Linked DNA regions of Arabidopsis thaliana. The protein of the gene in region 1 interacts with the protein of each later gene in a pairwise test. Each region holds a gene or a part of one and is shown in the gene's direction. Other genes may lie near its edges.

What was found.
Region 2: the proteins of BBX29 (region 1) and BBX10 interact in a two-hybrid assay, tested with the Arabidopsis thaliana proteins (one large-scale study listed by BioGRID).
Region 3: the proteins of BBX29 (region 1) and BBX15 interact in a two-hybrid assay, tested with the Arabidopsis thaliana proteins (one large-scale study listed by BioGRID).

The regions. Positions count from the first base shown.
Region 1 is NC_003076.8:22,113,064-22,118,338, reverse strand, and holds BBX29 (B-box type zinc finger family protein), read left to right. Parts: upstream 1-2,799; 5' UTR 2,800-3,023; coding exon 3,024-3,518; intron 3,519-3,602; coding exon 3,603-3,755; 3' UTR 3,756-4,035; downstream 4,036-5,275. Other genes in the region: AT5G54480 (hypothetical protein (DUF630 and DUF632)), read right to left, coding at 1-335.
Region 2 is NC_003074.8:7,703,508-7,709,568, forward strand, and holds BBX10 (B-box type zinc finger protein with CCT domain-containing protein), read left to right. Parts: upstream 1-2,749; 5' UTR 2,750-2,928; intron 2,929-3,142; 5' UTR 3,143-3,228; coding exon 3,229-3,726; intron 3,727-3,805; coding exon 3,806-4,033; intron 4,034-4,119; coding exon 4,120-4,370; intron 4,371-4,456; coding exon 4,457-4,586; 3' UTR 4,587-4,602; exon of another isoform or gene 4,603-4,683; intron 4,684-4,715; 3' UTR 4,716-4,839; downstream 4,840-6,061. Other genes in the region: CYCP2;1 (cyclin p2;1), read right to left, coding at 420-666, 921-1,306; BBX31 (B-box type zinc finger family protein), read right to left, coding at 5,791-6,061.
Region 3 is NC_003070.9:8,932,494-8,938,084, reverse strand, and holds BBX15 (B-box type zinc finger protein with CCT domain-containing protein), read left to right. Parts: upstream 1-2,540; 5' UTR 2,541-2,800; coding exon 2,801-3,799; intron 3,800-3,891; coding exon 3,892-4,146; 3' UTR 4,147-4,369; downstream 4,370-5,591.

The DNA.
Region 1 (5,275 bases):
TCATTATTGCTCAACGGAGCTGTTTGAGGTTGATCACAGACTATACAATCAGAATCAGAATCTGAATCAGAATCCGTATCCGAGTCTGAATCTGATCCAGAACAAATTATATCACTACTAGACGAATCATCATCGGAATACGGAATCACAACCAAATCCTTATGAAGAAACTGTTTAAGAGCTTTGCTGAAATCTAAAAGAGATTTAAAGTAAAGAAGATGAGATCTCGCTAAGTGATAACGAGCATCTCTAGCTGCTTTGATCAATTCCTTCCTCTCCTTACATAGATTCAACAATGGAGTATTACTATCTCCCTTGGAAGCAACGATACCCATTAAACCCTCTTGAATGATCTCTCGAAATCGGTTAAACCCTAATTTGATTTCCTCGCTTTAACAATTGATATTTCGTGGATTGATTGAGTTGTTGTACCTTTTGACGACATCACTAAAAAGTAAAAACCTTGTTTGGCAGAAGTACGACTTGATGATGAACCCTAATTAGAAACAAATTCGATTTATTTTGTAGAGCGACGCTGAAGTTAAACCGTGTTTGATTTCCTTTTTTTTGGTTAAGGTTAGTATATAATTTTAAGAAAAGGAATTAGATGAAAAGGAAATTTGTAGCTAAATGGAAAAAATCTCACAGTAAATAAGAAGATTAAAAACAATAAGTTACATGTAATTAATGTATGGGGGCACGTTATATAATTGATATTAAGATCAGCTAATGATGGAGTGTGTAAATTAAATTTCATTGACACTACAAATATATTTTCGCAATTCCTTACCAAAAAACAAATATATATGAAGTTATTTTCTTACAGTACAAAGTTGATGTTTTGATACTTGTATCTTGTAGTATCGAGATCTTGAATTTTCATTATGGAATTTGGTTGACCAGTTTGACAAATAAAATGATGCACCTCTCATAGAGTCATCGGTATCCCTGATAAAAAGAATCAAACGTGGAATGGTCCGAATGAATAAAATCTTAGTGTACATATATATAAATCATATAATTTGATAGAATTTATGTTGAAAATGTAAATAATATGTATTTTTATCAACAAAAAAATTTAAAATTATTATAATTGGGTTGATCACCCATACTGAACAAATTTAACAATTTCTATTGTAAATTTGTAATCCACTTCTCTTTTTAATAAATCTTTAAAGAAACTTGCAAAAGAAAACATAAATGGAAAAGAACTAACAAAAAATAAGGAGTAATTCGTAAGATAGATGTGTATTGATTCGAGGCTTCTTCTAAGTTGTTCTAAAGTTGTCATCCACAAACATTTAAAAGTAAAAAAACAAAAAACCATAAAACTCAAAACACCTCCACTCATCAGCGCTTTTTTAATGCATGTGGCTCTCAAATGAAGACATCTCGTGTTCCTTTGATTCTTCACAATTCACACTTCACCCTTTACACCACTAATCTTCGCCACGTAAAAATTTCTCAAGCATGTTACGTAGGCCCAACTTTACCATTTTTTTTGTTCTTATATATATTTTACGTATTATTTGTTATCCTAAAATGACTTTCAATCCATCTTTGCTAGTCTTAATCTCGATTTCGTGATACAAATTAATTCCTTTGATCAAATGAATACAAATAATCAAATTAATTCATCTTTGATCATAGATGAATTAGTTTGTTCTATGGATCAAAACCACAGATCAAACTCTATCATACAAAAATCGTTGTGATTTTCTTTTAAAAACTCACAACTGTAAACATTTGAAATGACAAAAAATATTTGTCTAACTACAAGCTTCTTAGCTATCTATCTATCCTGTTTTTTAGATAAAAATTCGTAATACCTTTCATTTTTTTAATCCAGGTTTAATAATTTTTCAAATATATATTCTATATTCTTTTTAATTACCATTAGCAAATAACAAGTAATATATCGAATTGCCAATGATGTGAAGTAAAAATGTAAAATTAGTGGTTGGATTTATTTATTTATTTTTATTTAGAGAAAAAGACATTTAACTCGAATTATGTAAAATATGGAACGCTAAAAGTGGTTGATAAAATCATAAAATTAGGTTCTTCTCCTAGTAACCATGTTGATTCATGGACACCAAAATTTCCGAACCCAAAATGCGATATTAAAAATCCGATCATCATTATTATCCTACCGTAATACCAACGATATAAATGATATTTAATTCACTTTTCATTTTCGAAAACAAAACGCTTGGACCGGAACGAGAGAGGAATACTGAAAAAAGTAAAAAATGAAAGAAAAAAGAGTGGACCCATTAGACGTGTATTGAGGACCAGACAAATCCCAGGTGCGGATCACGTGGTTCTAAGTCTATTACAGAACCTGATTCGTCCACGTAGGATAACTCAGAATCTTCCCTCTCCTCTATACGAGGCTAATATCTCGCCACGTCATTAACTAAAAATCTAACCGCATAAAAATATCTGATGAAACATAAAACGAATAATATCTCGACACGTAAGACTTCGCCCATAGGAGAGCCTTGTCCCAGTACATGGTTTCAGGACCAAGTAAATAACAACATTTCCTTTAATTTTTATTATTATTATCATCTCTCCTAAATTTAAGAATTCGAGAATAATACTCAGCCGCGGAAACCTTAATCAATTTCAAACACAGATTTAGAACTACTAATACAAAATTATCCACAAATTATCCACCATAAAAATTAAAGTTTGAACGAATCCTTTAATCTTATTCTAATTTAAAATTAGGAAGCTTCTTTGCATTTCATTAAAAAATTACGTGAAAAATCGTTTCGTTAATATCAAAAAGACGACAATATCCTCGAAAAGAATTAAATCACATAAAAGTCGCCACGAAATTCTCATTTTACAATTCTCTATTACGCTGTCTCTTATTCGTGTCCGCAGAAGAAACGAGAGAAGAGAGAGAAGCAAAAGACCTTACCAAGAATATTTATAACACACAAACATCTAGAGACAGAGATAGACATAGAGAGAGAGCTTGTGGTTGTGGTTGTGCGAGATAATATCTAGAGATGGGGAAGAAGAAGTGCGAGTTATGTTGTGGTGTAGCGAGAATGTATTGTGAGTCAGATCAAGCGAGTTTATGTTGGGATTGTGACGGTAAAGTTCACGGAGCTAATTTTCTGGTGGCGAAACACATGCGTTGTCTTCTATGTAGCGCGTGTCAGTCACACACGCCTTGGAAAGCTTCTGGGCTGAATCTTGGCCCAACTGTTTCTATCTGTGAGTCTTGTTTAGCTCGTAAGAAGAATAACAACAGCTCCCTCGCCGGGAGGGATCAGAATCTTAACCAAGAAGAAGAGATCATTGGTTGTAACGACGGAGCTGAGTCTTATGATGAGGAAAGCGATGAGGATGAAGAAGAAGAAGAAGTGGAGAATCAGGTTGTTCCGGCTGCGGTGGAGCAAGAACTTCCGGTGGTGAGTTCGTCGTCTTCGGTTAGTAGTGGTGAAGGAGATCAGGTGGTGAAAAGGACGAGACTTGATTTGGATCTTAACCTCTCCGATGTATGAATATGAATCTTTTTCTTTATCTTCTTTTATTATTAGGAAATGATTAAGAAATCTGAAACAATTCTTTTTGAAATGCAGGAGGAGAACCAATCTAGACCATTGAAAAGATTATCGAGAGACGAAGGTTTGTCAAGATCAACTGTTGTGATGAATAGCTCAATCGTGAAATTACACGGAGGGAGGAGAAAAGCAGAGGGATGTGATACATCATCGTCGTCTTCGTTTTATTGAAATCGCCAAGGAAAGTAGAGATTGTAGCCGTTGATGATTCTTTTGTTTGGTTGATTAGATTAATCCTCATCGTTCATTTACTAACAACAATACTTTTAGTGAGTTGAGTTAGTTTAAAAACATTTCAATATAATGATTTTTTTTTGTGTTTTTTTTTCTGTGTTACCTAGAATATATATGTTCATATGTCTAGTATAAAATCATATAACATAAAAAATAAAATGAAGCAAAGTTGTTCAGAAAATGATTAAGAAAATGAAGCTGTTTTCTATTTATTTATTTTTTAACGAAAATGATTAAGAAAATTAATTAGTGAAACAAGAGATATTATTATAAATTTATAACGTGAGAAGGATTACCAGCCAAAACCAAAATTTATTATGATGTCAATTTTATTTGCCTTCCCAGAACTAGAAGTGTCTGTGTCATTGTGATGTTACAACTGAAGAGTACATAACGTATGAATGTCCGTTAGCTTTGTAAATTGTAACTACGACCACTAAAAAGAATCAAACAAAAAAGTTGTCAAGACTTAGAAAAAAGAAGATATTTAGTACCATGGGGTCCTCCTTTAAAGTTTTTTTAAAAAAAATTTATTTGTCAAACGCTTTGAACCCATCGTGTCTTTTGTATCTAAACCGTGTTCGAAGCTCCAAAAAAATAAAAAATGATGCTCTCATGATTTATATGTAACTAAATAAATTGGTTTTATTTCTAATTTTGAATCTATTTGTTTTGTGAGAAATGAGAAGATCCAAGTTTTTGGTTTCTTGATCGTATATGATAAATACAGTATACAGTAATTCAATTCATGGTAGTTAGAGAATTGGACGGCGAATGTCTACCAGATATTTTATTTATTTAAATTGAATGAAAGTAGTGAAAACATGTGGTTCTCATTGCATCTCTTTGCAAAGACCGATCATTTAAGCCGTCTTCAAAATACTAAAATATGAATATAATAATTAGAGATCATAATTTTAATTTAAGGTTTACACTTGGATAAATACTTGCGGATACGATGACATCACCTTTGAGTTAAACTTCCTTTCGAAGTCAGAAATACAAAAAGTCAACCCCAAGCATTAATCCACGAGTCTCTTTATTTCATTATTAGAGTTTAACATTCATGTTTAATGCATATAAACACTTCATTATCAAAGTGTTGGACTTTGTTCGTTAAATCCCAAATCATTTAGCAACCGATTGAGTTTGTTCGATCTGTTTTATATGTCTTTTTAGCCATATTTACATAAATGATGAAAAACAAAAGAATCGTTGGCCGGATATTGTTTCGCGATGACGATTTTCTTTCATCAGAATTGGAGTATCAGGTGGCCGAGGTTGGTGGTCGATGACCTATTGTTTTGGTGCAACACGTGATCTTCTTATCATGTTCTAAGCTTCCAACGTTGGGTGAAGATTATCCTTCAACATCTCTCTTATGTTGTCGATTCCAGTTGGCCCCACGCATTGGGATCTAATCTTTGTAGAAGCCCATTAATATTTGGACTCTATGT
Region 2 (6,061 bases), on another chromosome or scaffold:
TTATGTAAAGGAAATTTTACACGATAAACCGAAGACGATTGGAGGAGTAAGAAAACTAGGAAACTAGAATTGGATTTTGGTTTGTTGTTGTTGGATACTTAAGTCATCATGGAGTATCATTTTACAGTGAAAAGAAGAAAATAGAGAGATGAACCTGAAGAACAAAACAACATGTGCAAAATGTAGGAAAAAATAGCTTATATCATTTAGTTGAAATCTACAAACTATTTAACTTAACAGATTTACATTGTAAAATCTCTAGTATACATAGTTTGAGATTTCAATTATTTTTCTCTAGCAAAAATTTGAGATAATTTCTTCAAAATATAAATAAAATTTCGATAGTTAGTGCGTAAACTTTTTCTGTCAACCAAACGCGTTCAGTTAAAAGTTATATTAAAAAAATTCATATACATATATCAAACATATAAAGATGATAAAGTAGATGCTGGAGAGAGACTTTCTTGCATTGGTTGAATATCTTTGAGGGAAGAAACGGCGTCGTTTAGTTGCATCTCTTTTTCGAGGTGAAAGCAATAGCTCTCGAAAACTCTAAAACTCACAGTAACTCTAAAGTCAAGAAGAAAGAGAAGCTCCAACTCCATTTTGTTCAAGTCTGCATTGCTTACGCCTCCAACCCGAGCATAGAACTCGTTGTTGTAGTGCCTGTGAATATGAAATTTGTTAGAAAAAACGAAAACCTCTCTTATCTCATCCAATACATGTTGAAACCTTGAAATCAATAACTTAAAAGGGGCACTTAACATACATATAGGTACAAAGTTTGTCCTCATTTTATATTGGTTAGATATAAAATGTATCTTTCATTTTGTTAATCAATTAAGATACAACTATGATCTATAGTTTCATGATTAGTCTAATTTCAAGATATTATAGAAATTCAAGAAAGGCTTACTTACACGTCATCTAGTATCTTGGCAGCAATCATGACACAAGTGACGAGGAGTCTATGAACATTCAAGGAGACAACCAAAGAACCAGGATGCTTATGAGCCAACCGGTCTATGTACACATACCCAACAACGAAACATGCCGGGCTACATTTTGTGTACTTATATATCCTCTCAAGGTATTTAGCTATACTTATGCTCGGCGCTCTCACGCCGTGAAACGCCTCCAAGCTCTTCCCAAATCCCTTAGTTTGCTTAGCTAACCACTCGTTTCGTGCCACGAGCTTCTCCATCACATGGGAGATTATAGTCAGCACTCTTGGAGTGGCTGCTTCCGTTGCCGATTCTGGTCCCACGACCGGGTCCAGTTCATCGTCTCCGGCTGCGGTTAACATGGGTTCTCTTCAGTTTTCGTTAATGGGCCATGTTGTATAGTTCGTTTTGGGTATATATGGCTTGTAGATTGGGTGGTTGAGATACGATGAGCTTAAGATGTTACGTGGGGATGTTATCATGTTTCGTCTGACTTTGGACGAGTGTGAGATGGTTTTGACACGTGTCACTTCGCGAGAAGATAGGATTCCGATGATTTTTGTATACCTTGAGCAATGAAATTAGTTATCATTTATCAAACAAATAACTTTATTTTCCACTTAATTTTCTGCATATTACTAGCATTATTACCCAAAATTAAGTTTCCGGGTCTTGGTCCATAATTTTCTCGTCCGGTACAATTTCCTTTGAAAAGTCTCACAGTACACAAATTTTACTACATACGCTGGAATATATTCTTGATGTAAATACTATATATAGATGTAAATTAATGTTAGATACATTATTTGAAAAAAGGCATACGCGTTGCCGGTCACTGCATACATGTTTAATGTTTTGATAAGGAGAGTTTATGCATAGGTCATATAATGTTATGTGGCCATTTTTTCTTATCTCTGTTTTGAAGTTCATTTATCTTTGTTTACGTTAATAGTTATCATGTTTCTTACTTTTATCTATCAAATCTATATATCATTTTCTTTGCATAAGGCATTTTTTTCTTAAATTGTATCCTTTTAAATAGTTAGGTTGGTGTGCAACTTCTTAAAAAGAAAAGTTAGTTCTTTGAGGATTATATCAAAAGATAATTACTAGTTCAAATTTTACAATTTTCTTTTAGAAACAAATTTTTTACGAAATAGCTGACAACATTTTTTAGGTTAGGAATCCCAAAATTTGAGGGTAGCCTGATCAAAAAGTTAGAAATGCTAACAACTTATTTCTATTCAAGAGTCAACTGCATAGCCATTATACATGCATGTACATTAAACTGATGATAATATAGAAGTTGATGTGGCCTAGTCTATTTCAAATGAAATGACTCAATGATCTCACATCTATATATCAAATGTTAGAGATACCAAAAGACATCACACAATTCAGAAAAACTGATAACTCTTTCAAACTAGTTGAGAACATATTTTCGAAAAAGAAACGTACGTGGCTCAATATTCAAGTAAATTACGACATGTATTACACGTATAAACGATATCAATAAATTTATTGGGAACCACAAGTAAGTAACACTAGTAATAGCTAGTATCGACCCGAAACAACGAGTTTTAAGGTTTGCCACAGAGCACAAAATCTATCGAGCAAGAAAAAAATCAGATAGTACTATCTTGACAAGCGATATAATCACAATTACCTATGCATGTCTTCATAATAAATCACGTCAAGGCTCATAATTACGCCACGTGGATTTTAACCGCGTGGACACACGTTTTCACAAGGTATAAAAGAAGCAACCCTACCTCTCTTTCTTCTACGTGATTCGCACACCACTGTAAAAGTGTAAAAAAACTCTTTTTTTGTTCTTCTTCACATTTCATTCGATTCAAAAAATATTCTGTTCTTAGATTGTAATCTGTTTTTTTTTCTGTAATCTCCCATTATTGGGTTTTGAATTTCTCGTCATTTTACGAAAAAGGTTGTGAATCGGCCTAATCGATCTCGGTCGTCATAAGTGAGTGCTTCTTCCTCCGTATTAGCTCTCAAAAACATTTGTGTTTCTATTTGAAACGTAACAATTTACGATATTTTTCCTCACAAATTAATGTAATTGAAACACAAAACCCTATCATGCATGATGCACCCATATATTACCATCTTTAATTCCAAAATCATCATTTTCCTTCCATGATTTGTATCTGAAATGGTCATGCATCTATGTTGCGCAGGATCTTACGTGTGTTTTACTAATCGTGAAACAATATCAACGTCAGATTCTTCTCTATACACTTTTCTTTAAGTTTACCCAATCATCATGTCTCCAAGTATGGAGCCAAAGTGTGACCATTGTGCAACCTCGCAAGCATTGATTTACTGCAAATCCGATTTGGCTAAACTATGCCTAAACTGCGACGTCCATGTACACTCTGCGAATCCTCTGTCTCACAGGCACATACGCTCTTTGATCTGCGAGAAATGCTTCTCACAGCCAGCCGCAATCCGCTGTCTCGACGAGAAGGTTTCATACTGCCAAGGATGTCATTGGCACGAAAGCAACTGTTCGGAGTTAGGACACAGAGTTCAGAGCTTGAATCCTTTCTCTGGTTGTCCTTCTCCTACAGATTTTAACAGAATGTGGTCTTCAATTCTTGAACCTCCTGTCTCCGGCTTGCTTAGTCCGTTCGTTGGTTCTTTTCCCTTGAATGATCTCAACAATACCATGTTCGATACCGCTTATTCCATGGTACCACACAACATCAGTTACACTCAGAATTTCAGTGATAATTTGTCTTTCTTTTCCACGGAATCTAAGGTAATAATTAAAGGAGTGAAAAGTGTTCCTTATAAGTTCTTGATGAAAAATACAGTTCTTATTTGTGTGTATGTTCCAGGGATATCCTGATATGGTTCTTAAACTTGAAGAAGGAGAAGAAGATCTATGTGAAGGGCTTAACTTGGATGATGCACCATTAAACTTTGACGTAGGAGATGATATTATCGGATGTTCATCAGAAGTACACATAGAACCGGACCATACGGTACCAAATTGCCTATTGATTGACAAGACTAACACATCCAGCTTTACCGGCTCCAACTTTACTGTAGACAAGGCTCTAGAGGTCTCTTTCGCTTTTTTGTTGTCGTTGTTGTAGTTTCTAGTACCTCAAGAAAGTTTCTAATATAAATTGTGTTATTCTGTTTCCAGGCATCGCCACCAGGTCAGCAAATGAACATCAACACTGGACTTCAGCTTCCTCTATCACCTGTCTTGTTCGGACAAATCCATCCATCTCTTAACATCACTGGTGAAAACAATGCAGCTGATTACCAGGATTGTGGGATGTCTCCAGGGTTTATAATGAGTGAAGCGCCATGGGAAACGAATTTTGAAGTTAGTTGTCCACAAGCAAGAAACGAGGCTAAGTTGAGATACAAGGAGAAGAAATTAAAGCGCTCGTAAGTTTATTACTAATCATTACAAAACAGAGTTTATACCAACTTGGATCAGGTTTAATGGTGTTTTTCTTTTTTTTTAATTGTAGTTTTGGGAAACAGATTCGATATGCATCTCGCAAAGCAAGAGCTGACACGAGGAAAAGAGTGAAAGGAAGATTTGTGAAAGCTGGTGACAGTTATGATTATGATCCATCATCACCGACGACGAACAATTGAAATTTACAAAAATAATGTACAGTCTTCTTTCCCAAACAGACTTAAACCATGCTTCATGATGATGATAAAGGTTGGTAAAAACAGTTTCTTGTCGGGAAAGTAATGTATTGTTTGTCTTATTGTGTATAGTTTTTGTGAATCGAAGAAATCAACATGTTGAGGCATGGGAACGTTGGAGAACTAAATAAAGTTGGTGGAAAGCCAAAATGGTGAAAATTATTTAGTAACTTCTTTTATTTACAGAATCTCTTTTGTTTTTGATTATTTTTAAGTTGGGTTTTTCCTTTTATAGGACAAATCCTAATTTATCTCTTTATAAATAAATTTCCTAGCTGTTTTTTTTTTTATTAATAATAAAGTAGCAGTGATTACAATCTGCTCCATTACAGAGCTCGCGTTTAACGTGTTTCAAGAGAACAATTCTCTACTTATTAAGCATTGCATTATGAAGATGTTTCACTTGCAAAAAGTTTAGTTATTACCCCACTGGTTTAGAACCAATTGGTTCTTAGTTTTGAATCTTAACCTTATTTTAAATTAAAATGTTGTTTTTACTAAGTTAAGAAAAGTTAGGAGGAAGTTTAACTAATTTCTATTTCAATGGTTAAGAACTATTGGATTCTTAAAAAACAACAATTCAAAAATGTCTATCCACTCAAAATACAACACATATACTCTTCTTAGTTTTAAGAAAACATCTTAATTAAGATGTTTATCTTAGCTAAGGTTTGTTGTTTCATTAAATTTAATCACTTTTATTGCTAAGAATACAAGGCTGGAGTTGCTTTTATGTACCTTTAAATTAAGGAAAATGACAAGTCCAAAGAAGTAGTGAGAAAGATTTACTACACTAAAATAAATATCTAACAAAATACCAAACAGAGAGTTTGGTGAGTTAATTTTTTTTTACAGCAGTTTTATGGAACTTTTTGTTTGTTGGTTACAAACATTGCTTAGTAGAAAAAAGCAAAAGATTCGAAGAATAACTCAATAACAACAAACGATCCTTGTTTCTTCCCTTTCTATTGCAGATATTTTTTGCTATTTTTAGTCACTACCCATTTCTTAAAATTCTTTTTTTTTTTTCATTACACATTTCTTAAAATTCTAAGCTTCATAAAATTAAAATTTTCAGATTTTTCTTAAAAGAAAATTGCATAAAAACCCTAGAATATTTATAGCTTACACCAAAAAAATCTAATAATCAGAGAAAAACAAACGGAACCTCATGATTATCTTGTTCACTTCTATTCTCCACGGTGGTTTCTCCGACCGTCGTCACCGACGGTAAAACAACGTGGAAGTCATGATCTCCGACGAGGCACCGGCGCGTGAGTTTCTGACAAGAAGTGCATAGCACGCGCCTTACGTGTCTCCAAGCTAGAAAATTCGCTCCATGAACCCACCGGTCACATTTTCTACAGAGGAACGCCGAGTCCGCTTCACAGAACACGGAGGCGTCTCCGTCGCAAAGC
Region 3 (5,591 bases), on another chromosome or scaffold:
ATCCATCACATTCAAATTTCCGTCTTAAAATTGAAAGTGAAGTCATGACACATAACCATCTTCATTTTTCTTCTAATTAGAAAGTTCCATATTATTGGTTTATAATTTTTTTATGGTCCCTGACCAAGTGACCGATTTTCTATTATACATGTTAAGGTGTAAATTCAATAACTCATGTTAAGGTTTAATTTGTATCAATATTGGGTGACATCTTCATATATAATACTGAAACGTAAAAAGTTAGTGGGTTGTGTCCAAACCGCACCATTTTAAGATGAGTTATAGGATTCTTATTTAGATATAAAGAATTAGTTTCATAGGATAGATTGGATGCAATAATCAACCTTCAAAGTACTAAACCATCTCTCTCCAAACGAGCATTGGGATCTAGAAATAAGGACTTAACTTTCTTTTAAAGAGTTTTTGATAACCAAATGAGCTATCATCAGCCCATCTCCAATTCACCGAAAAAGATTGAGTGAAACTTATGGAAGGCGTAAGAGAAAAATACGGTGTCATGTCTCACAAGTTCACAACTATAATTTGGATTGGGATAGGCAACTGCAATAGGCGTGGGCGGTTCTTTTAATTTTGTAATAACTGAAAGCAGCAATTTGTTGTTACGTAGAGTGTACGTAGTCTATGCATGTGGTTTCATGCTTTTACTCTCTACCCAATACTTTTATTTTAGTTTCTGCTAATTACCTGGCTAGGCCCATCTTCTATCACATCTCGTTTTTCTCCTTTTATTTTTTTCGTTCTTTTATGTCCAATGAGTCTGGTTTAGTGAATGGTCAAAACTTAATACCGAAGGTATAGTACATACCATTTTTTTATTTTTTTATTAACGAGGGTGTTTGAACCTACATATGTCTCAGTTTCAATTTTACGGTTTCCGTAAGAATTTGTAGGGATTCGTGGGCTCGAATTATGGGGCTTGTATTAAAATTTATAAAGTAAAGTTCGTTTGCAGAATTTTATTAATTATATCGGCCCATATATATTTGAGTTTTGAGCCGACACATTATTTAGCCCAGTGATAAAGGCCTCTTACGTAACTCGATCAGTCCTCCCTCATCTCTAATAAACAACATGTTCTTCACTTTTTTCTTTTTTTTTCTACAGAAATACAATCCAAAAAATTACTTGTTCATGTAAAATAATATGTGAGAATTAATGTTATACTTTGTAACCAAACTGATTAGCCTTCAATATTAGTGGATCCATAGTCATTAATTAATCGTAGTTTAGTGGTATTAACTCCATTTGAGTTTTTTTTTTTATTTCACTTTGCTATTGAAATAGGAAATATTGTCATTTAAATATAGTATTATGTTTTCGATTTTAAAATCCTAGTAATAGTGGCTGCTCGTTCTTCTTATGATAATGAGGCTTCCTACATTTAATTGTGTGCATCAAATGTACATCTATATATCAATAACATAAGTAGATTGGATGGAATGTGAATGCAAATTTATAATTCTAATCATATACTTAGGTTATAACCCTAAACAAATGTAATTTTGTTTTCATGAAATATCTTATTAATCATGTTACCAATAAAGTTATGCTTACTAATTGCTTTTTTCCTTATGCTAACCAGTAATTAGTGGGTATAGTTGACATGATGATAACATATGTGATTGAATTGTAATAATGCGACATTATGAATAAAACATGTTACTAAAAATGAATACATGTTAATATCACCCGTGAAACTATTATCTTTGATGAAAATAAAATTACAAATTACGCATTTTTAAGGTTATTTACTAAATAAAACTTACCTTTTGTCTTACCATATTTCTCTTGGGTACAATATCGCCTTTCTCCAAATGAGGATATCACTTTTGTCTAGGTAATAGTTCATATCACATGAGTAGTCTTTATTATGATTTTATATTGATAGCTATAATTAACTCTGTGTTGATAATAATATTTTCTATTGGACAAGACTAACCAATAGATAAATGAACCTGGCAACACATGGTGCACCAAAATAAGAATAATTAATAATAAATATTGTACCAATTTATCATTTATGATAAATCTCCACATTCATTTTCTTAAATTTATTTGTTTAATCAAATAATCAACCATTGTAGCTTAAAAACTTCTATCCAATCAAATCTTCCTTCAACTTCAAACTTCAAAAAATTGAATCAATGCTTTTTGCTAAGATATTTCTCAGATTTCTAAAAAGTGAATCAATGTTTGTTGATAAGTATTACCAAAATTGGAGAAAAACTATTTAGCTAAAAAAATTATTTTATCCATAGTCAAAGTTAGTAGTTATTATATAGTCTCTAAAAAAATGGTGGAAGAAAAGGAAAAAATGTCAAAGCTGAAACCTTTGCTACTAAAAAAAGGAAAAAAGAAATAACAAAAATCACAAAAAGTCTTGAATATTGAAAAAAAAAAAAGAGTGATTGGGCAAGGAAAACGACAAGGTAGACCACACAAGAAATCCAATGGATAAAGAAGCTGACCAATTAAAACACTATTACGAAGATCATCTTCAGAACTCAACCAATCACAAATCAGATAAGGCCTCGTCATGGGTCCCTAACTGAAGACATAAACACCCAAAAAGTACATAATTTTTCTTATAACTTCAAAAATCCACTGACACAAAAGGGAATGCGCTTCATGCGGGTCATCCTCTTAATCTCAAACTCTCTAGGACTACACTAAATCTAACTTTTTGCAGAGAGCAAAAGATTCAATAATTGAGATTGATCTCAAAACCAAAGCTCTCGTGCTCTTGTCGTTGATGTTGGTTGTGTAGACTTTGTATACAATGATGAAAAGTTTGGCGAATGCTGTTGGAGCGAAGACGGCGAGGGCTTGCGACAGCTGCGTGAAGAGACGTGCACGGTGGTACTGCGCGGCCGACGATGCTTTTCTTTGCCAGTCTTGCGACAGTTTGGTCCATTCAGCAAACCCTCTTGCTCGCCGCCACGAGAGAGTCCGTTTGAAGACGGCTAGCCCGGCGGTCGTAAAGCATAGCAACCACTCATCAGCTTCTCCTCCACATGAGGTCGCCACGTGGCATCACGGGTTTACTCGTAAAGCTCGAACGCCACGTGGCTCTGGTAAGAAAAACAATTCGTCGATATTTCATGACTTGGTTCCTGATATTAGTATTGAGGATCAGACAGACAACTATGAGCTTGAAGAGCAGCTGATCTGTCAAGTGCCGGTTCTAGATCCGTTGGTGTCTGAGCAGTTCTTGAACGATGTCGTTGAGCCCAAGATCGAGTTTCCTATGATCAGAAGTGGTTTGATGATCGAGGAGGAGGAAGACAACGCTGAAAGTTGTCTTAATGGATTTTTCCCGACCGACATGGAGCTTGAGGAGTTTGCTGCTGACGTGGAGACTCTGCTCGGTCGCGGGTTAGACACGGAGTCGTATGCCATGGAGGAGCTAGGGTTATCTAATTCAGAGATGTTCAAAATCGAAAAAGATGAGATTGAAGAAGAAGTAGAAGAGATAAAAGCCATGAGCATGGATATATTTGATGATGATCGAAAAGACGTGGATGGAACAGTACCGTTTGAGCTAAGCTTTGATTACGAGTCGTCACACAAGACGTCCGAAGAAGAGGTAATGAAGAACGTTGAAAGTAGTGGTGAATGTGTTGTTAAGGTGAAAGAGGAAGAACATAAGAATGTTCTGATGCTAAGATTAAACTATGACTCGGTGATATCCACTTGGGGAGGTCAAGGTCCACCGTGGAGTTCAGGAGAGCCACCGGAACGAGACATGGACATCAGCGGTTGGCCAGCCTTTTCCATGGTACGTTATTTAAAATCCTCATTCTTATAGAATTCAAATAAAAGTGAGTTTACTGTTCTCAAATTTCTAAAAGTTGAAATAATATGTTTTAGGTGGAGAATGGAGGAGAAAGTACTCATCAGAAGCAATACGTTGGTGGATGTTTACCATCAAGTGGGTTTGGAGATGGAGGTAGAGAAGCTAGAGTTTCGAGATACAGAGAGAAGAGGAGGACAAGGTTGTTTTCTAAGAAGATACGGTACGAGGTACGTAAATTGAATGCAGAGAAAAGACCACGAATGAAAGGAAGATTCGTGAAGAGAGCCTCGCTCGCTGCTGCTGCTTCACCATTAGGTGTTAATTACTGAATAGTTAATATCTATTCATGTTATATCTCACTTTACAAATTTCGGTGAATCTTTTTTCTTCTGAAACAACAGAAGTTATTTTGGCACTTAATTGTGCTTTGAGGACTTGTATGTACATAGAAGTAACCAATAATAATGTGACTTTTACTTGTATTGATAGCACTGATGTATATATCTGGTAATAAGAATGTGCAAACTGCAAAGGCATTTTGATTGTTAAATTACTCTATCTTAAACATGTTTACCATGGAACGAACATAAGAACAAAAAACTGATTCTCTTAAAAAAAATCGATTGATCATCTTTACGAACTCTAAAAAATAAGAAATAGTTTTAAACTATTTGAAAAACTTTTTGATATCTGGTAACACTATATTATCCTAAAAGAATCAGAATCGGGATTTCAAACACAAAAATGGCTAGACAGCAAACTATAATATGCAGAATGAACAAGTTTTCCGTGAATTGTCATTGTCATTGCCAATTGATGTCGCATTTTTTTCTGTATAGTCCAATTTCTTCTTAATTTCTAGCTAAAAGATGAAAATGGCTACTAACTACCACACAAGCGTATATTGGACCAAATATCTATAAGCGTTAATATCATCAAATCGTTATCAACGACCCATTATTAATTGTGGTACATAAGAAATGTTAATATTGGTGGTGTTTGATATTATTGGTAAGATGGATAATTTCAAACAAGTTTTGTTTGATACCAACATAAGAACGAAATTTCTTGGTACCAACCGATAATAAGTTGGAAGCCGAAATTTCTTCTTTTTCTCTCTCCTTTTTCTCCCTGACCTAGTTTTCTCGCCCCCTCTTCTCCCCCCGACGCCGGCCTCACGCTGGTGGTCGGAAATTTCTTCCTGCTCTCATGCCGAAGAAGAAAAAGAAGCCCATTAGAGGGGCTGTCCCTGGTTCGTCTAAATTTGCTGCAGTCTACGCTCGCGCTGTTGCTCCTCTCGTGAGCAAAAGCCGTGTTGTTGCCGCTCGGTCTAGGGAGGAGTCTGCCTCTAGACCTCATCCTTCTTTGGTTTCAGATCTGTCACTGACCCCAGTCTCGGATTTAGTGTTGACTCCAGATCCGCAGTCTGCTGCAAGTGCGCCTGTCCCCACCGTCGATGGCTCCGCCTCCGGTGTTGCGACGTCCGTCAATTCAGAGGCAAATAGTGCTTTGTCTTCAGCCTCCCTAGACCAATCGACTGTCAATGAGACAGACTTGGTCAGTTCTTCTCAAGTCGGGGTGATAGCTCAGCTGCCACCAAAGTCTGTCTTGTCTTCTCCGCTCCCTGCCGAGCAAGGCATAACCGTTGGAACTTCTCCGGTGGAGGCTCCAGTGATTGGATCTCAACCCGTTAGTTCGGGCTCCGCGCTCTGGGTGGACCGGGTTAAGGGCTCTGCTAAGAAGCTCGCAAAAAAAGGTTCCTCCTTCACTCTCC